2 linked regions of the Elephas maximus indicus genome follow. The protein of the gene in region 2 interacts with the protein of the main gene of each other region in a biochemical or structural test. Links are inferred from orthologs where the notes say so. Each region holds a gene or a part of one and is shown on either strand. Other genes may lie near its edges.

The links.
Region 1: the proteins of RAD18 (region 2) and HLTF form a complex in vitro, tested with the Homo sapiens proteins (2 studies listed by BioGRID). The link is inferred for Elephas maximus indicus from reciprocal best matches to the Homo sapiens genes RAD18 and HLTF.

The regions. Positions count from the first base shown.
Region 1 is NC_064841.1:10,843,075-10,853,653, reverse strand, and holds the start of HLTF (helicase-like transcription factor), read right to left. Parts: upstream 5,163-10,579; 5' UTR 4,952-5,162; coding exon 4,932-4,951; intron 3,457-4,931; coding exon 3,249-3,456; intron 3,231-3,248; exon of another isoform or gene 2,819-3,230; intron 1-2,818. UniProt on the Homo sapiens protein: Has both helicase and E3 ubiquitin ligase activities. Possesses intrinsic ATP-dependent nucleosome-remodeling activity; This activity may be required for transcriptional activation or repression of specific target promoters.
Region 2 is NC_064838.1:33,900,940-33,911,980, reverse strand, and holds the start of RAD18 (E3 ubiquitin-protein ligase RAD18), read left to right. Parts: upstream 1-6,785; 5' UTR 6,786-6,884; coding exon 6,885-6,935; intron 6,936-10,551; coding exon 10,552-10,633; intron 10,634-11,041. UniProt on the Homo sapiens protein: E3 ubiquitin-protein ligase involved in postreplication repair of UV-damaged DNA. Postreplication repair functions in gap-filling of a daughter strand on replication of damaged DNA.

The DNA.
Region 1 (10,579 bases), on a different chromosome or scaffold from region 2:
CCTGTTAAATCCTCACAGACTTGTAGGGCAGTTACTATCATTATCCCCATCTTACAGATGAAGAAATTAAAGCATAGAAAAGTTAAGTAACTTGTTCATGGTCATAAAGTTATGAGCAGAGCTGAGATCTGAACCCAGGCAGCCTGGTTCCTCAGCCTCAGTTTTCCAAAATCTAAAAGTGAAAAATAAAGGTGTTAATTATAAGGCAGACAAGAACTGGAATAAGAAAAATATATCCTGCCTTCAATTAATGCCATTCTCTGATTTCACGTGACTGAAAGTTGCCCAAGAGTGTTATCATTGAAGATGGCAAAGTAAGGACCTCCAAGAACTTTCTCTTCCATAAAAGCAACTCTGGAAACTAGCAAAAGGCTTATGACAACCTGAATAGCATTAGTTCAAGAAAAATAACTGAGTTATCAGTGCCATAGTCCCATCCCCTGCTCTCCAACTACACGGTAGCCTTTAAGAATAAAAGCCTACTGGCATTCCTGACGTAGCCTGACAGGGACTAGAGGAAGCAGAATGGATAAAGTTCTTTCAATGTCTCACTCTCAGGCACTGAGTTTCCATTAATGGTGACAGAGTAATTTGGAAAAAGACAGGGGTAAATGGTCACACAATATCATGAATATGATCAATGTATTGAATTATACACGTTAAAAGTGTTGAATTGGCAAATGTGTCTTATACACTTTCTGCAACGAAAAAGAAAGTCTCATTCCCAAAGAATTATCATTATTTGACCAGTCTGGTGGTTCCCTAGAAGACCCACTTGCAAAGCTGTTTGTATTTGACCTAACAGAAAGAGATAATCACAATAGTAGGATAATATGACCTCATTTTTATTAATATACAATATGATTGCAATTTACATGCACACAGAGAAAATTGTGGAAGAAACATCAATGTGAATAAGGTATGGTTCTGAATGGTAGGTGTTAGGGTGATTTAATTCTTTTTTTCTTTTAGCCATTTTTTAAAATAATGAACATGTATTACATATAAAATAAATAATACACCTTTGTAAAAATAAAGAAATTAAATGCTAATGACTTTTCATCAGCATTACATATAAAATAAACAACACACCTTTTTTAAAAAATGAAGAAATTAAATGCTGATGACTTTTAATCGGCCTACCACATTTTTATTAGATTACCAATGTCATAAAGATTGTTCTGATATCAAATAGTGATTGTGCTCAGAGTAATAACACAGCAGAAAACCATAACCTAATATTTTACCATTGTTTAAAGTAATTTAGAAAACAACATAAGTTAAAAAAAAATAGAACAAATCAGAAATAGAAAAGCATAGAAATTACATGGTTAGGCAAGAGATGGATATAAAATAAGAACCAATAGAATTCAGGAAATAATTAGAAAAAAGAAAAACCATTTCTGGATTGAAGACAAAAGCAGAAATAACACAAGAGTGACCAGAACTTGTGAAAAACATGGCAAGGGAAATAAATGACGAAAATTAGGAAAGCAATAAAAAGGATTTCAAAGGAAATAATAGACATGGGCTGAGAAAGTCTAACATACAGAGAGATTAGTGAAGAAAAACTAAAGCTATGAAACAAAACAAACATTTAAAGCTACAGAAAATTTTCTGAAATAAAAGGAAATTTGAACTTACAGAAGAGTCAATACTAAGTAAGACATACCATAACAAAACAATTGGACTTTCAAGATAAGGAAAAACATTCTTTGGTCATCCAGGCAAAAAAATTCCAATACACTTATATGGGAGATAAAACCCTACTGGCATCAAGATTCTCACCAGTAATATTTTATGCAACGTTAAGGTAACATAGGAAGAAAACATGGGCCAAGGATTACATATTCAGCAAAACTGCCCTTCAAGTATAAACTCCTCAACTATGAACACGTAAAAACTGAGGAAACATTGTTCCTTTCCATAGAATTTCCTAGTAAATATCTTTCAGACAACTACAGAATGACTTGAAAAAAACTTTCAATATAAAAAAAAAATTGGGAAAACAGAAGCATAGACAAATCCAGAACATAAAATTTCTACGCAAGGAAATCTCCTGCAGAACATGATTCAGACAACCAAAAAACGATCTGAGAAGCTTCAACCTAAGAAAAACATGGGGCAGTGGAAGAAGCAACAAATCTAGAACATTCTACAGAATAACACAGCTGGTTTCTACAATAAGTCAATGACATGAAAAAAAACGGCAGGAGGGTTACGAGGTATAATAACCAAAGGTAATGTATGAACCTTCTTTTGATGCTGATTTGAAAAAACCAACTATAAAAAGACAAGAAAATCTGATTATGAATTACTTCTTACATGTAAGAAGAAATTATTAACTTTCACTATACAAATGACACAAAAATGTAGTTTTAAAAAGATACACACTGAATTATACAGGTGTAAAATGTTGATATGTTTGGGATTTCCTTTAAAGTACAAAAGAACAAAGAAAAGGAAAAAGGGATACACGAAGCAGATATGGAAAGATCTTGTGAACAGTTGAATATAGATCATGGTTATACAGGAGTTTATAGTCTACTTTTATGTATGTTTTAAATTTTTCATAATAAACAAAATTACGTAACACAGAGGCATACTAGACCACCATAACAAATTACCGACCAGAGAAAGTTACATTCTCTTTCGGACACACACGCGCGCTCGCGCGCGCAACACAGACAAAATGCAGAGGATAGAGAGCTACAAAAAGACAGGCACAAAAGAAAAGAAAAAATGGGAGACAGGGACAGTCTTCACTACAGGAAAAGAAAAAAGACAAAAAGCTCTTAACAATAGACAATTCGCTTACACAGCAGGAGCTGATCTTCCAAAATTAAAATGCAGAAATGCACTAAGGGCCAGAAGAGGAGAAGGCAATGGACTGGGAAGTCATTCCCAAATACACCATTTAGTAATCCGTGTGTTTTGGGCAAAATGTTTAGCCCCTTTCTGAGCTTCAGTTCCTTCATTATAAAAAGGGGATACAGATGTCCCATCTGCCTCAGAGTTATTGCTGGGATCAAATGAAACAGTGCAGGCAAAGTGCTTTGTATACTGTAAGCATAAGAGAATATTAAGTCAAAGTAGTTCAGTTATCTATTATCTCTTGCCTGGATATATTCAATTACTTAGAGTAAAAATAAATATTAACTGCACATATCCCCTTTTAGATTCTCTTATTTTCTAGGTTAACACCATAAATATGTCACAATTTAACTTAATATCTACTTTATACTCACTACTCCTGTATAATAGCGTAGTCCAACAACATGACCTCTCAAAGTTCCAAATAAAACAGAATCTAGCTCTTCATCACTAGTTAGGAAGTCGTCTGGAGGGATAATATCTTGGAATTCAAAACGGGGAAAGAAAGTAGGGTATGAAAGGCGTGAAAAATTTCCATGGACTCCATACTGGACAGTCTGCAAGTACTTCCAAACAGGATCTCTATTTAAAAAAAAAAAAAAAAGTCGTCACCGAAAAACACTACAATATTTAACCAGGTATTTCTCAAAGACCATACCAGTTATCTATAGGCCAGTTTTCTCACACTTTACTCACACAGCAAACGAAATCAAATGTGTGAACCATTGAATATACACTAAGAGTTACCCTGGTTAAAACAGAGATTGGGGCAGGAGAGGTTTCCAGGAACCTTACCTGTTGAACATAACCTCCTCCACACCCAAGGTATTCAGAATGGGAAAAAAAAAAAACACTAACCCCATTGCCGTCCAGTTGACTTCGACCCTAAAGGACAGAGTAGAATTGCCTCATAGGGTTTCCAAGGAGCGCCTGGTGGATTCGAACTGATGACCTTTTGGTTAGCAGCTGTAGCTCTTAAGCATTATGCCACCAGAGTTCAGTGTTCACAAATTTCTTGATTAGCCTAAGGATAACCAATCTATATGAGATGGTATATGTGTGATGTCTGTAACTACACTTATAGGCCAATATTTCAATGTGGATTGAGCTAGAAGAGACTTGCCAAAACGGCTCAGCAATTTCTATATTTACAGATAATCCAGCCCATCCCTGGATTATTACAGTAGACACGGATAGCTTATGCAGCATTCACTGCTTTCGTTTCCTCCGCAAAGAATCCTTATCTCACTCAGGTAGTCAAACCCTGCCATCACGGGGAGCTGACCTCAAGCCCCGCCCTCTCCCCGCTGGTTCCAGGACCACCCCAGGCCCCTCGTGGATAAAATGATGCAGAATTGGCATGAAGAGCGATTCAGACAATGAAAGTGAGGGCGAGTGTGGTGGGCGGGGGGCCTTCAGGAAGTTTCCCCTCTCCTAAAACCCTGCTGGTGTAGTGGTTTAAGTGCTACGGCTGCTAACCGAAGGGTCCACAGTTCGGATCCGCCAGGCGCTCCTTGGAAACTCTATGGGGCAATTCTACTCTGTCCTGTAGGGTCGCTGTGAGTCGGAATCGACTCGACGGCACTGGGTTTTCGGGCAGTCGCTCCTTTCCCTGCGTTTGCCTCGCACATCACGCAGACCTCTCTGGCTCCCCTGGAAGCCTGTGTCTGCACGTCTGTGCACGCTCATAAACCGATCAAAGCCCCTCGGGGGCAAGGACTCTGCCACTCGGCCCTCCATCCCGAGCACAACGCCAGCGCACAGTGGCTCCCTAGGGGACGGCTAGGGGAATAAAGCACGGCCGGAATCCTGGCTACGGAGCCCCAGGCCCCCACAGCCCGTGACAGAGACCTCCCAAGGCCCTGGCCTAAGACTCGCCTGGGGGGCCACCCATCTGCAGCCTTTATTTCTTCCGCGGCCCCAGGAGCGACGGGCACCACAAATACGAGCGGCGCAAACAGCAGAGGAAGCGCGGCAGGGGCGCGGGGAAGGTCAGGTTCATCTGGGGACGCCGCCGCTCGGTTAACCCCAGCGCCCCACCCCTCCGGCCGCTGTACCTCCTGAACATCCAGGACATGGCGCTGCGCGGGGCGGCGAGGGGAGCTCCTGAGCGCCCCCGGAACGTTCTCCAGTCGCCTGGGGACGCCTCCTTCCAGGCCCCGCGGCCGGGAAGCCGGAGACAGGTTCCAAGCGCCCGAGGAAGAGCGCCCCACTAGACGATAAAACGCCGCGAATCCAGTCAGGCGTCGACGCTGTCCCTGCTACCAACAATCCGAGAGACCGGCGACCCTGTGTGACTGGCGCTGAGCGCGTCCAATCGCGAAGAAGAGCCTACGGAGACAAGCCAATCAGAACACGGAGGGGAAGGCGACTCCGCCCCGCGCTCCGATGTACCGAAGGTGGGGGCCCGGGCTGCAGGGGTGGGACCATCCGGGTCCTTCCCCGCCCCCAATGCGGGCGGGCGGGAAAGCCACGCGGTCCCCGGGGCCCGATTGCGGTGCCCGTGATACTAGGTTTTCTGTTTGATTTTCTGCGTCAAACGCAGGGCAGTGTCTCTTCATTCCTCTTTCCCCCCCAGCCTTAAGCCTCAGCCTCATTCTTCAGTCCCTCCCTGATCCTGCCTCCAATATTCTCCTCCTCTGATGGGACATGGAATAGGGTCTCCCATTGAATAAGTTGGAATCCACCAGCCGCTTCCCGGAAACCCTACGGGGCAGTTCTTTGTCCTTAGGATCGCTAAGAGTCGGAATCGACTCGATGGCAATGGGTTTGGTTTTTGGTTTTATGAGTTGGACGGTTTTCAGAAAATCTTAATTGGAACTTAGAGTTATAGAGCACCTCTCCCACTTTGGTTGTGTTTGTTGTTGTTTTTAATTAAATTTATCATTTCTTAATGCAGGAAAGCACAGCACTGTTATTTTTAGTTGCTGTCTGATCGTTCTGATTCAGGCAACCTTATGTATAATAGAAGGAAACAGGTCCTGCTCCAACCTCACAATCCTTGGAGAATTTGAACGCATTGTTGCAACCAGCATGTCAATCCATTTCACCAGGGGTGGATTACCTAGTAAACAAAGTAAGTGCGGACTTCCTTGTGCTTACTAATCTCTAGTGAACAATTTAACACGGATTTCACCATGCCACATCAAAGTGAAACCCGTGTGAAACTGCACTACGTATTAGTAAGTAGGTAGAAGTAAACCTGTGCTTACCCTGCTTACTGTCAGGGGTTGTAAATTTGAAAAGAGGCTTTGATTCTGTAGGGAGGTGCTGTGGGGCTGGGAGGGAGACAGATGCCAGCCATACCTGGAAGCAAAATTTTTGATGTGGTGAAAAAATGTGGAATTGTTCACTACAGATGATCTGGTAAGCAAGGTAAGGACTGTGTTTACCTTGCATATTGCATAATCCACCCATGCATCTCACGCAGGGTTTCTCTGGCTCCTGATGACTCTTTACCAAACATGGTGTCTTTTTCTAGTGATTGGTCTTTCCTGATGACATGTCCAAAGTAAGCAAGATGGAGTCTCGCCATCCTAACTTCTAAGCAGCACCTGGCTATACTTCCTCCAAGGCTGAATTGTTCGTTCTTCTGGGAGTCCAGGTATTTTAAATATTCTTCGCCAACACCGCAATTCAAATGTGCCAATTCTCCTCTGATCTTCCTTTTTAATTGTCCAGCTTTTGCATGCATATGAGGCTGTTGAAAAGACCACGGCTTCACTGCTTGGGTCAGCTGCATCTTAATCATCAAAGTAATATCTTTATGATACTTTAAAGAAGTCTTTTGCAGCAGAATTGTCCAGTGCAGTGTGTCTTTTGATTTCTTGACTGCTGTTTCTGTGGGCATTGATAACTCAAAAGCCATTGCTGGAAATGGTTGGGTCAAAGTTTTCCCTGAGGCACGTGTAGCTGCCCCAGGGAAGGAGCTTGTTTTCCTCCACGAACTGTTAGGGGCAGTCCAAGACACTCCATGGCCAGATTGCAGGAGTCTGAGGGGAACTCAGCCTTTGGTAGGTGGGCCAGTGAGGCGGCTGTAGCCCAGGGCATGCAGGACGGGTACCAGCCGGCTCTGCGGCCTTGGGAGCCAAAGAGAGGCTGCTACCAATTAGAGAGGCCTTTTTGGTTCAGCTGCACCAGAATTGGATGAAGCTGGTAATGGCTCTGAGCCACACCTACTTGCACATTGCAGTTGTCAGATTGTCAGAAAACAATTGCTGGGATCAAAGAGCAAATGTATTTGTAAATGTGATAAATATTGACAATTGCCCTTCAAAGAATGCTCCGTTTTACAGTCCCATTAAGAGAGTAAGAGAGGCAGTCAGTAAAGCAGTTTTTCTAGAGACATTTGTTCATTTTCCTAAATAAACTATACCCATTGCATTATCAACCCGTAGGACAGAGTAGGACTGCCCATTGAGGTTTCCAAGGCTGTAAATCTTTACGGAAGCAGACTGTCACATCTTTCTTCCTCGCAGCAGCTGGTGGATTTGAACCACAAACTTTTTGGGTAGCGGCTGAGTGCTTAACCACTTTGCCACCAGGGCTCCTAAATAAACTATGATGATCCGTAAACTTGAGCCAGAGTCCCTGAGTGGTGCAAACTGTTAACCATGCTAGGCTGTTAACCAAAAGGTTGGAATTCAAGCCCATCCCCAGGCACCTAGAAAGTCCCAGCAATCAACTTCTGAAAAATCAGGTGTTGAAAACTTTATGGAGCACTGTTCTATTCTGACACACGTGGGCTGTCATGAGTCGCAATCAGCTAGAGGGCAGCTGGTAAACATGAGCCAGCAGTGCAGTGAGAGATAGGTTTTGCAGCAATTTATTGATTTATCTCACCAAACAGAAGGCAGACGATGAGGAAGACGAAGATAGTAGCATTTCAAGTATCTTAGTTATTTTCCTTTCTTCTTGAAGTATTAAGTGGCAAGTGGAATGCAGTTCCATTTTTGGTGCGCCAAATTCTGCATAAATTCTTTGAAAATATGCCAGAAAATGCTCAGATCGATAATGTTTTGCCTGTAAAATAATGAATCCATGCTCATTAGACAGAAAGATAAAATTATGTGAGAATATAGGCGATCCTAGCTCTTTCTAGACCTAAGATCTATGAATAATGACACCCCCATGGCTGAAGATTGCCTCTCGAATGAAGTAAAAATTTTGCTGTTTAAGGTCAACATTTTTCTCGCTATTGTTACTATCTTACATCTCAGATCCACCAGTTCAGGTTGGACACAGTTTTTTACTTCATGATTGTTACTGGGTGGAAACCCCAGGTTCTTAACTCGGCGTGACTCGTATTGGCCAATAAACGAGAGATGGAGGTGGGAGAATAAGAAAGTCACCTGTATTTCCTTGTACAAGGAAAATGGAGTCAGTTGGAGCTAATGCTGCCGACCTGCTCCCCAAAGGCAGGCAGGCAGGTTACTTTTTAAAGGGGTTTGCAAGTAGGGAGTTCCTACAACTTACATCAGCAACATTCCTGATGGTATGATTCAGGTGCAATTGGTTTTACATAGAATCTCCAAGGAAAAGCAGCACTCAGATGCAAAGCTGAGTGGGGGAGCTCAGCAAAGGAAACAATTTTGCAATACAACACTGTAGGGGAGGAAGAACATAGCACTGTGGGGGTTCTGTCTCATTATTCTTTGTCCTTTCTTTTTTAAAAAAAAAAATGAGGTTAAGTGCAGTTTGTACTAGTTGGATTGAAATGTTACAACAGTTACAAATTCGAAAATATCACACTAGATGTTTTCTGGAAAATGAACTAAACATTTGTAACTGAAAAGAAACAAAACTGTAGTAGGGTGGCTTGTGTGGTTGTGAGGAGGAGAGTGGCATAAAAAGAGGGTGATGGGGAAGGTATAGGCCAGATTACATAGGAATTCATGGTCTAGAGCAAAGATGTATTCTATTTTAAATGCCATGGCAAACCATTTAATATTTGAAGCGGGAGAATGACAAGCTGATTTAGTCTTTTAAAAAAATCACGCTGGCGGTTCTGGGGTTAATGAATTACAGGAAACAAGAACAGAAGCAAAGGGACCCTCAGTTGATAATTAGAAACCATTGTATTCAGGTAAGAGATGATAATGGCTTTAATTATTGTTCCCCCCCCCAAAAAAAATATGTGTTGGAATCCTAACACCTGTACATATAGAGGAGCCCTAGTTGCACAGTGGTTAAGAGCTAGGCTGCTAACCAAAAGGTTGGCAGTTCGAATCCACCACCTGCTCCTTGGAAGCCCTATGGGGCAGTTCTCTGTCCTATAGTGTCGCACTGAGTCAAAATTGACTCAGTGGAAACAGATTTGGTTTTGGCTACTGGTCGTCCAAATTAATTATATCAGTCTAATGCCATCAGCATGAAATCAAAGAATGGCATGTGTGGCTATTTAAGATCTGTTCCTTCCCTCTTATTCCAGCCTCATATCTTTTGTCACTTCCCGCCCCACACTGCCTATAATGTCCTTTACTGACTTCTCTAAAAAATACAGGTACTTTTATACAGTGAAACCTGTGAGAGCCAGAATGCAACAGGACTGCCTTGTTTTTCTGGGTCTTGTGAGTTTTCTACCTTTGACAGGATGTAGTGTTAATAACACTTTGCTATCGCTCGTTTTAGTGGAAAATGTTTGAGTTTTCCTTCTCTGACAGGTTTCTGCCTTACATAGGCTCCAGCTTTCACAAGTGTAACTGTATATAACCATAAGGCCATTACCCTACCCAATATAATTAATAATAAATCAATCCTTGATGCATTCTAATAACTAGTTCATTATCAAATTTTCACAATTGTCTCAAAAAATGTCCTTTTACAGTTGGTTTACAAAATGGAATTTTGAAGCCTTTGGTAAAAAAAAAAAGAAAAAAAAAAAACTTAGGCAAAGACTCTGGAGTTCTAAAAGTCTGGCTTCCATACAAAAAATTCCCAAGTTTACATCATAATAGATTCCAGGAAAATGAATGATAATATAAGAGCTTGTTTGTTTGTTTCTTTCACTCAAAAGGGGAGAAAGTTCAACAGAGCCAGAGAATTTTCAGGATCAGGAATGAAAGCTTGGAGGGTCTTAGGGAAAGAATCAGGAATGCTATCACTTTGGGCCAAGCTCCACAAAGGCAGGAAAGTTTCCAGAGACCCCATAAGCAAAGGAAGCTGTAGCTCATTTCCCTACAGTAGCTTCAGTATTCTGCATATCTGCACAGCCTCAGAGACCAGAAACATGCCAGAGGAATAAAGAAATGAAGGTGAGGGAGAAGGTTTTGTGAAAGGGCCTGAGGACAGCCTTCCAGAATCCTGTGAGACTCCCTAGTGAGTCAGTGAAGGTAGGAGGCCCTTACCAGATCATGGTTCTAGCAACCAGAAGCAGGGGCCTGATGTCCAAAGATGAAGCAGGATAAATTATATCAGCAGTGGCTGCCTGCAGAAATGAATGGAATCCAAATATAATCCTCCTGGAAGATAAGGGAGTCTCTGATTGGTATAAAAGGTTAATGCACTTGGCTGTTAACCAAAAATTAAAGGCTTGAGTCTTGGAAGAAAGGCCTGGTGATCTTTTGTTGAAAAATCAGCCATTGAAAACCCTACAGAACACAGTTCTACTCCAACACACGTAGGTGGGATCCCCATGAGTTAGAGTTGACTCAATGGCAGCTGAGTTTTTTGGGGGGAGGGTGAGAGGAAGGGGACAGAATTTGAA
Region 2 (11,041 bases):
CGTTACGTTTTTCTTGGTTTTTATTTTGAGTTATGGAGTTGTTATACCTCTTTGTGGTTACCTTAATACTTACCCCTATTTTTCTAAGTAAAAACCTAAATTGTATTGTCCCATAACGCCTTGTATCCCTCTCCATATGGCAGTTCTATGCCACCTATATTTAGTCCCTTTTTTTGATTATTGTCATCTTTTACATATTGACTTCAATGATTCCCTATTTTGAGCATTTTTTTTTTAATTGATCTTAATTTGTTTTTGTGATTTCCCTATTTGAGTTGATATCAGGATGTTCTGTTCTGTGACCTTGTGTTGTGCTGGTATCTGATATTATTGGTTCTCTGACCTAACAATTTCCTTTTAGTATTTCTTGTAGCTTTGGTTTGGTTTTTGCAAATTCTCTAAGCTTGTGTTTATCTGTAAATATCTTAATTTCGCCTTCATATTTCAGAGAGAGTTTTGCTAGATATATGATCCTTGGCTGGCAGATTTTCTCCTTCAGTGCTCTGTATATGTCATTCCATTGCCTTCTTACCTGCATGGTTTCTGCTAAGTAGTCTGAACTTATTCTTATTGATTCTCCCTTGTAGGAGACCTTTCTTTTATCCCTGGCTGCTTTTAAAATTTTCTCTTTATCTTTGGTTTTGGCAAGTTTGATGATAATATGTCTTGGTGTTTTTCTTTTTGGATCAATCTTAAATGGAGTTCGATGAGCATCTTGGATAGATATCCTTTCGTCTTTCATGATGTCAGGGAAGTTTTCTGTCAGTAGATCTTCAACTATTTTCTCTGTGTTTTCTGTCCTCCCTCCCTGTTCTGGGACTCCAATCACACGCAAGTTATCCTTCTTGATAGAGTCCCACATGATTCTTAGGGTTTCTTCATTTTTTTTAATTCTTTTATCTGATTTTTTTTCAGCTATGTTGGTGTTAATTCCCTGGTCCTCCAGATTTCCCACTCTGCATTCTAATTGTTCGAGTCTGCTCCTCTGACTTCCTATTGCGTTGTCTAATTCTGTAATTTTATTGTTAATCTTTTGGATTTCTGAATGCTGTCTCTCTACAGATTCTTGCAACTTATTAATCTTTCCACTATGTTCTTGAATAATCTTTTTGAGTTCTTCAACTGTTTTATCAGTATGTTCCTTGGCTTTTTCTGCAGATTGCCTTATTTCATTTCTGAGGTCATCCCTGATGTCTTGAAGCATTCTGTAAATTAGTTTTTTATATTCTGTATCTGATAATTCCAGGATTGTATCTTCATTTGGGAAAGATTTTGATTCTTTTGTTTGGGGGGTTGTAGAAGCAGTCATGGTCTGCTTCTTTATGTGTTTTGATATCGACTGCTGTCTCTGAGCCATCACTAAGATATTGTAGTGATTTATTCTATATTTGCTCACTGAGTCTTATCTTGCTTTGTTTTCTTTCAATATATGTGGATGGGCTACTAGATTGTGCCGTCTTGATTGTTGTAGCCCTTGACTTACTTATGACCTATTACCAGCTGGTTTGGGCTGTTACCAGATATATATGCCTGAGTCCATTCACTATTCTTGAGTAGAACCTGATTTTGGGGCATCAAGTGTGTGATGCACCCTATCACCTACCCACCTTGAGAAGTAGTTGTGATAGTTGTGTGCACCAGATTCTAGTAGAAGCTGGGGTTCACACTCTGGGGGGGCAGGATGCTGACAGGCTTCCCCCAAGTGTCAGTGAGGTAGGTGTGTCTCTATTCCTAAAGCACCTTGGTGGGTGGGCTCTGCAGCTGTACGTTAGGTCCCCAATGCAAGTACCTCTACAGATTGGTAGGTGTCACCCTCCTTAGACCCCTAAGGCAGGAGGCTAGGTGGTCTAGGGGGAGCTTCAGCTTCAGTTCCCTGTTGTGGGTCAGTGAGGGCTCTGTTGAATACGCAGAGATATCAGACCTGGGAAACTTGTCTTTCCAGTAAATCTGCTAAAAAAAAAATGCAGTCAGATCCCTATCAGAAACGCCTTTGCATTATAATAGCCACCTTGTTCCCTATAGGGTTGAAAGCCGGAGAGGGTGGATCACATATGCTTGGCTGGAGCTGGTTCTGTGTTTTTAGTCCAATTAGGGAAGGATTTTTGGTCCCTGTGTTTTTTGTGGTTGCTTCTCTCAGGCCGGAAGAATGGGTTAGGAAAAGACCAAAAAAAGAAAAAAGGGGGAAAAAAAAAACCCGCGGAGCAGTTCTCCCTCTGGCTCAGGAAATTCCAATGTTAATGAAGCCGCCTGACTGGGACGCTGGCTCCAGGCTCCGAAAACAATCTCTGCTTCCCTGTAGTTGTTCATTCTCCATCTCTGTCACTCAGGTCAACTCTTTAAATCTGTGTTTGCTGGTCATGGTTCGTAGATTGTCATGTATGTGATCGATTCACTTGTTTTTTCTGAGTGTTTGTTGCAAGATGGATCCGAGGTAGCGTCTACCTAGTCAGCCATCTTGGCCCCCCTCTCAAGCTGTGTGATCTTGAATGAGTTCCTTTGCTTTCTGAGATTTGGTTCCCATGTCTACAAAATGTGAATAATTCTCGTGATGGAATCCTGAGAATATTCTGTAGTGGTTAATATGAACTCTTAAACTACACTGTCCAAGTTAAAATACCTCCTCTTCCACTCACCAGCAAGGTGCCCTGGGCAAGTTACCTGCTTACCTCATTTGATTGGGGTGTGTCTTAAATCAATACGTGTAAAAGCACTGAGAACAGAGCTTTTCATACAAAACAAATCAGAAAACCAGTTATCAGCAAGTCAATACCAACTTATGGTGACCCCATATGTATCAGGGAGCCCCGGTGGCTCGGTGGTTAAGAGCTATAGCTGCTAACCAAAAGGTCAGCAGTTGAATCCATCTGCTGCTTCTTGGAAACCCTATGGGGCCAGCAGCTCTCCTCTGTCCTATAGGGTCACTATGAGTCAGAATCGACTGGACGCTGACGGGTGTGTGTGTCAGATTAGAACTGTGCTCCATAGGGTTTTTAATGGTTAATGTAGGTTACCAGGTCATTCTTAACCATTTGTACCACCCAGGGACTCTGCTTTGAATACAAGTACCTAGTAAATGTCAGCTACTATTGTAATGGATGTTGAAGTCCTTTGTGCAAATGCTGTATACTATTGCTATTACCCAATGAGTATTTGCAGACAGGCTGGGAAAAATCAGGGGCCAGAGATTCCTTTCAACAAGATCCCAAAGGAGTGAAGCCAAGGCTTAACTTCTCTGAACTCCAGTGTCCTTTTCTGTAGAATGACTATAACAACTTTACCTCTGCCTACTTCACAGGGAAGCTTGTGATGGTTAAGATTGTGTGTCAACTTGGCTAAGCCATGATTCTCAGTGTTCGTACGTGAATACACCCATGATGGGATCTGCTGTGAGTAGTCAATCAGTTGAAAGGGAGTTTCCTTGGATATGTAGCCTGCATCCAAATATAAGTGGATGTTTGTTCGAACTTTTGCCCTTTCTGGATCCTACAGCTGCCTCTTGTTCATCTGACCTCCGGTTTCTCAGACTTGAGCTAGCAGCTTACCTGCTGATCTTGGGATTCGTTGATCGTCACAGCCTGTGAGCTATAGTCCTGCTCTCTGACCTGCTGATCTTGGGTTCACCAGCCCCTGTAGCTATGTGAATCAGGGGAAGGCTTGCAGTATTGCCTGCTGATCTTGGGATTTGTTGACCTTCACAGCCTGTGAGCAAGAGCCCTGCTCTCCAACCTGGTGATCTTGAGTTCGACAGCCCCTGCAGCTATGTGAATCAGGGGAAGCCTCTATTCTGACCTATGGACTTGGCGTGCTCCAGCCTCTTTAAACACGTGAGCTGTTTCCTTGATATAAATCTCTCTCTCTATGTATATAATTACATGCTTTACTGGTTTTGCTCCTCTAGAGAGCCCAGCCTAAGACAAAGCTCAAGTGCCTGGCCCATGGTAAGCACAGGGTGACAGTGACAAGCTGCAGGGCTCTGCCCTTAGCCAAATATCTGTTCTTACTTGCTGTCCGTGAGACATGGTGCAACAGAGGTCCCCATAAGTCAGTAAATAAATGCTGAGTTGAGCAGACAGGCTGGAAACTGAGCTGGTCAGTGTTTCTCATGTGGGCAGCAGGCCCTCTCATATTATCAGTGAAAGTGTAAATGTATTGGTATGAAATTTTTTGGAGAACTATTTACTGCTAGCTATCACAGTTTTAAAAGAGCAACAAATTGGCTGAGTAGTTCCATTTCTAGGACATCACCCCCCAGATACCTTGGAAAAAGTGTGCCAAGGTTTATACAGGTGAATGCGTTCACTGCAGCTCTTTGTAATAGTGAGAAACTGGAAACAATCTCAACGTCCTTGTCTTAGTTACCTAGTGCTGCTGTACCAGAAGTACCACAAGTGGGTGGCTTTAAAGAACAGAAATTTACTTTCTCACAGTTCAGGGGTGTAGAAGTCAGAATTCAAAGTGTGGCTCGAGGCCCTTCCTTGTTTATTTTCAGCTTCTAGAAGCTGCCAGCAATCCCTGGAGCTCCCGGGCTTATAGACGCATCTGTCCCCTTAGTCTGTCTTCCTCTTCCCCCTGTGTTCCTGTCTGTATGTACATATTTGCTCTTTTTGTAACTCAGAAGTGATTAGGTTTATGACTCACCATACGCTGGTATGACTTCATTAACATAATAAAAGTTGTTGTCATTGTTAGGTGCCCTCAAGTTAGTTCGAACTCATAGCGACCCTATGTACAACAGTACAAAACTTTGCCTAGTCCTCCATCCTCACAATTGTTGCTATGTTTGAGCCCATTGTTGCAAACACTCTGTTAGTGCATTTCGTTGAGGGTCTTACTCTTTTTCATTGATCGTCTACTTACCAAGCATGATGTCCTTCTCCAAGGACTGATCCCTCCTGATAACTTGTCCAAAGTACATGAGATGAAGTCTCGCCATCCTAACTTCCAAAGAACACTTCTTCTAAGCCAGACTTATTCATTCTTCTGGCAGTCCATGGTATGTTCAATATTCTTTGCCAACACCATAATTCAAAGGCACCAATTCTTCTTTGGTCTTCCTTATTAATTGTCCAGCTTTTGCATGCATGAGAGGTGATTGAAAACATCATGGCTTGGGTCAGGCATACCTTAGTCCTCAGAGTGACATCTTTGCTTTTCAACACTTTAAAGAGGTCTTTTGAAGCATATTTGCCCAATGCAATACATCATTTGATTTCTTGACTGCTGCTTCCACGGGCATTGATTGTGGATGTGAGTAAATGAAATCCTTGACAACTTCAATCCTTTCTCCATTTATCATCATGTTGCTTATTGGTCCAGCTGTGATGATTTTTGTTTTCTTATGTTAAGGTGTAATTGATACTGAAGTTTGTAGTCTTTGATCTTCATCAGTAAGTGCTTCAAGTGCTTTTTACTTTCAGCAAGCAGGCTTGTGTTATTTGCATACCGCAGGTTGTTAATGAGTCTTCCACCAATCCTGATGCCACGTTCTTCTTCTAAAAGAAAACTTCCTGTTTCCAAACAAGGTCACACTTACAGGTACAGAGATTAAGTATTCAACATTCAATCCATATCACACCTCAATATGGGAGTAGATGAATAAATTTTGGTACATCTATTTTATGGATTATGTAGCTATTAAAAAGAATAAGGTAAACTATATGTACTAGCATGGAGAGATCTCAAGATGTATGGTTAAGCAAACAAACCAGGGCTTTGTACCAGTTCCTACCAGTTTGAAACCCCTGCTGAGAATTTGCATTTCCACCCCAGATATACTGAATCAGAATCTACATTTTAACAAGATCCCCAGGTGATTCCAACAAATTCCCAGGCAGTTATACATAAGAATCACCTGGGGTCTTGTTAAAATGTAGATTCTGACTCAGTATATCTGGGGTGGAAATGCAAATTCCCAGCAGGGAACTTCTTAGAAAATGCACGTTCTCAGCCAGGGTTCCAACTGGAAGGAACAGGTCAAAGCCCTGAAACAAATGCACACAAGAAAAACAAGTTGTCTGAGTTATGCATTTAATATAACATTTGTGGGGAAAATGTATCTATGTTTATATTTGCATAGGAAATACACGGAAGTCTGTATGCCGTTGTCACCAATGATCATGAAGATGGCACGGAACCTGGCAAAGTTTCTTTCTGTTATACATAAGGGGCCCCACGAGTCGACCAACTTGATGGCAACTAGCAACAACATAGTCCAAAGTTAACAGTGATTATCTCTAAAGAGCGGGACTAACTTTTAAACGAACATTTTCGTTTAGGTAAAAGAAAGAGCTTCACATTTAAAACCCAGAGGCTAGATTTGGAGTTTGGTCGATACCACTGCTTGACTTAAGGAAACTTCACTTTTTTGGACTGCATCTTCTTCTTGTGTAAACTGACAATGATAATACCTACCTCCCGGTGTTGTGATAGGGAGTGGCGTGAAATAATGGATATGATAACCCCTGTTCAGAGCAGGCTCAGATCAATACAGCAATCAGGGAGGGCGACCCGAAGGAGGAGGGATAAGCCTGACCTCGAAAGATTTGGCAAGGCTTGGATTTGGCTTATTTTGATTCCTGAATGCCTTTTCCTAACATTCGATAGCCATCTATTTGTCAAAGATCTGGTACAAAACGGTCTCCAAGCCTTTGAATCACCCATCCTTCCCCTTCATCGGTGAGAGGCAGGGCATAACCCCGGCGCGTGCGCAGTGCGAGCACCTTTGGCTGCGCCCCGCCCACGTACTACAGCTCCCGGCAGGCTTCGCGCAGGCCGTAGCTGCGTCGTGGACTGATGTCGTGGCTCAGTAGCGCGGGGAATTTCGAGTGGCCGTGGAGCGCGGGAGACCAGTGGGAGGCGGACCCCCAGCTTCCCCAGAAGCGACCATGGACTCCCTGGCCGAGCCCCAGTGGCCTCCAGGCCTAGCAGTCATGAAGGTGAGTGCTTCGGAGAGGGAGGGGGCGCCCAGGCGCCTGCCAAAGGCCGGACCAGCGTCAGGGGAAAGGACGAGTTGGCGAGCTGGGCCTGGGTTTTCGACCCTCTCTGCCTTTTGCTGTCCGCGTGCCTCTGCGCCTCAGTTTCCTCCCCTGAGAAGTGGCGAGGACAAGCCTCGGTGTGTCATGGTGGGCTGAGGTTGGCTTATGGAACCGGGTATTCTGCGGTTCAGCCATAACAGTAACAGTGACATCGAGAAAAACCAGTTACTGCAAACGGTGACAACGACGATGACAGCTAACCCTTTCAGAGGGCTTACTTTGTGCCAAGCAGTCCATAAGCTCTTACAGTACACTAGTTGAAAATTTACCAAAGTGACATTGGACATGATTTTGTGAGGACACTGCATCGAATAACATCCTGTAACGAAGCAGGTAATCTCTTTTATATTCTTTTTCATTTCTTCTAATTACTCTGTAGAGGCTTCGTGCTGGGTTGTGCTAACATATGCCCTAATTCCTCCCTACCATGTTCTAACAACTCTCTAACAATTCCTCATTTCCTTCTCTTTTAGACAAAGAGATCAGGACTCAAGGCTCAGCACTAGCCTTCAATAGATTAAAAAAAAAAAAAAAGATAGTTTCATTTAAATAAGCATTTATTTTTATGGCTACTTCCTGTTTTTTGGCAAGGCATACCAGTTTTTGATCACCTCTGGATTCCTGCTAGATTTGCTCAAGAACATGTTCACTTTGCTGTGCTGGATAGCATTTGTTGCTTGTTTTTTTTACCTTTGTGATTGTGGGGAGGATCACTTTCTTGTTCTTTTCCTCGTTTGTAAACTGGGGATTATGGTATCTGTTCCTCTAACTTGTAAGACTGACTTTGAGGATCAAGTGAAGGGACTTGGGGAGGCTAGCATAATGATAAGACCTTGTTCTTCCTACTGTCAGCAAGTGTCATCTCTTGTGCTTGGGGACTTAAGACATCCTCATTTTACACTACAAAGAGTGGAAGGATCCAGGAGAACTGTGGTTTCGAAGTTGTGGTGGCTTTGGTGCCAAGATAGAGTGGAGAAAAGCATAAATTTTGAGCTCCAATTGTTCTGGGTTAAATCTGGACTTTGCCTCTTATTAACTGTGACCTTGAGTCAGTTACTTAACCTCTTTGAGCTTCAGTATCCTCAACTCTAAACTGGAGGCAAAAATGAACAGTTCATGTTGTTCTTAATTGTTGTCAAGTCAGCCTCTGACTCATGGCGACCTCATGCACAATGGAATTAGACTGTTGTAATGCATATTTCATTGGCAGATTTTTGAAAGTAGATTGCCAGGCCTTTCTTCCTGGCCTGCCTTTCTTCCTAGTCTAGAAGCTTTGCTGAAACTTGTTCAGCATCAGAGAAACATGTAAGCCTCCACTGACAGATGGGTGGTGGTGACTTTGCTGGAGTGGAACCTCAGTCTCCTATATGGAAGGCAAGAATTCTACCACTGAACCACCGCTGCTGTCTGAAAACAGTTCATAGGATTGATTAAACGAGTTGATGTATGTGGGTTGGGATCCTTTTGCTTTGTTCATTGTGGTTAACACGGCATATAGTGGGTGCTTAACAATTATTTGTTGACTGATTGAAGGTATCTGAAATGTAGTAAGAATTGAATTAATTTATCTTTATTACTATTAGCAGAAGCCTGCACTGGTGGTGCAGTGGTTAAAGCACTCAACTGCTGACCAAAATTTGACAGTTCAAACTTAACACTGCTTGCAGGAAAAAGATGTGACAGTCTGCTTCTGTAAACATTTACAGCCTTGGAAACCCTATGCGGCAGTTCTACTCTGTCCTAAAGGGTTGCCAGGAGTCGGAATCGACTGGATGACGGTGTGTTTGGTTTTGGGGTTTATTGTTATTAGCATTTAATGAGTTCTGTGCCCTTCCTTCTCCTTTTTATTTGCTGTTTGAAGATTGAATTAGATAGAGAAAGCCAAAGAGCTCTGTAACCTGTACATCTACTGGCTTTGTAGACTTCAGCATATTTTATGTGTTTTCACAACTTCCACAGTGTTCTCCAGTGGCAGCTTCCCTGTCTTCTCTGACTGTATGTATACATATGTGTATAAATCCAACCAGACTCCAGCTCTTTATATAAATAAATACAGGGTTCAGCACCAGAGAGTGTTCAATGCTGGGGCTGACTGAACCCATATTGGGCTCACATTTGAATCACGGAATATTGAGGTGGGGAAACCAGCCCCCTCCAGTATTTTAATACTTTTTGTAATGTATCTGCCACTTTCTCAGTTTTGGGATACTGATGCTATAGACTTCGTAAGATTGTTATGAAGATTAAACTACATAATTACCATTATTATGTATTATTGTTGATTTGGTCTCTGATTTTTTTTTAATTTCCATCAAAACATGAACATTTTCCTATTGCATTAATTATTCTTTGAAAATGTGTTTTTTAATGGTTATGTAATTTCTTCATGTGTACTATCAGTAACAGCGTTTTCGTTTTGGTTACTTTTTCCAAATTTAGGCAATATACTAACATGGTTTAAGAAATACATAAAATGAGAAGTAGAAGCCTCCCCTCTACCTTGTCCCTCATTTCTGCAGTTTTCTGACCCCCAGTGTCCATTATCTGTTATTTTCCTATGCATCTTTTCAGAATTTCTTTATATGTATATGTAAGATAAAAATGGAATGCATTCTTACCCCACCCCGCCATACTTTGGACAAAAGGTAGCATACCACGTGTGTTGCTTACACCTTGCTTACTTCTTTTACCTCACTACGTATTTGGGCCATCTTTCCGTATCAATACATAGGGGAACACCCTCTTTTCCTTTTTAGTATTTGCTCAGGATTGTACTGAGTGGATTAGCATTTTAATGTAATAAGATTTAAGTTGCTAGAATAGATCCTTTCCTGTTTGGATTGCGTTCCAGGTTGACACACAGCTGTTGGGCTTTCCGTACTGTCCACTCCTTTATCTGCCTTTGCTGTCACCAGCCTCAGCCATTCCCAGGGCTCCCTCATTTGACTCTACCGTGTAGTACAGTGCAGAAAGCACTAGACTGCAAGTAGGGAGGCGTCATTTTAGCCCTGGCTTGCCCGGTGCCCGTATTGGATACAAGTTTCCTCATTTGTGAACTAAGGGCTTTAACTAGATCACTTCCAATGTTTGGCTTTAATATTCTCAGATTTGGTTCTTAACCTGTGTGGTGACTATGGCTGCTGGTCCCTTTCACCCCAATAGTGACTGCAGGCCAGGGGATGGGGTAGAAGAAAAGGCCTGGAGTAAGAGGTAGAAACGCATGGGAAGCGAGGCAGAGCTAGAGTAGCCCTTTTGTGAAGGGCTGACAGTAGGGCACAGGGATCTGTGTCAAGTGTATCTGTTCAAAGCAGCTTGGGTAACCCGAGATGTGAATGTGTAAGAATCATATGGATGAGGTTGTTCTCTATTTGTCAAGAGCCTCTGCAGTTTATCTGGAATTAGCTTTTGAGTTTGCATATTTGTCAAAGAAGTATCATTAAGTTATTTTTTAGGGGTTGGAGAAAGAATTGTGTAGCAGATATTCTAACCATGGTATATACGTATTTTTACGTTTCAGACGATAGATGATTTGCTGCGGTGTGGAATTTGCTTTGAATATTTCAACATTGCAATGATGATTCCTCAGTGTTCTCATAACTGTAAGTGGGTATTGTTTCTGTAACCTAGTGACAGTGTGATTTTTACGTAAGGTAGTGTTAATTGAACACCAAAGATAAGTGCACGTATTTATTTCTGATGTTTAACTCATGTCTTCTGTATCACCTCCCTCTTGAATATTGAAGTTTTTATAAGGCTCCTGTCTTACCTGCCACCCCCCTCTTGAATATTTCTATGGCTTTTATCATTTAAGGCAGCAAAGATTTTGGTCATAATATATGATTTTTATTTGCCAAGTATTTTAGGTGTTAAGTTTCAGAATTTTTGTTTTAAACCAAGCTCTCCTGGTGTAGAATGCAGAGTTTAACAATCTCTGTAACAATGAGGATATTTCCCCAGTGAGAGAACACTACTACTGAAGATTATTACAGACAGTTTCATCCCTTCAC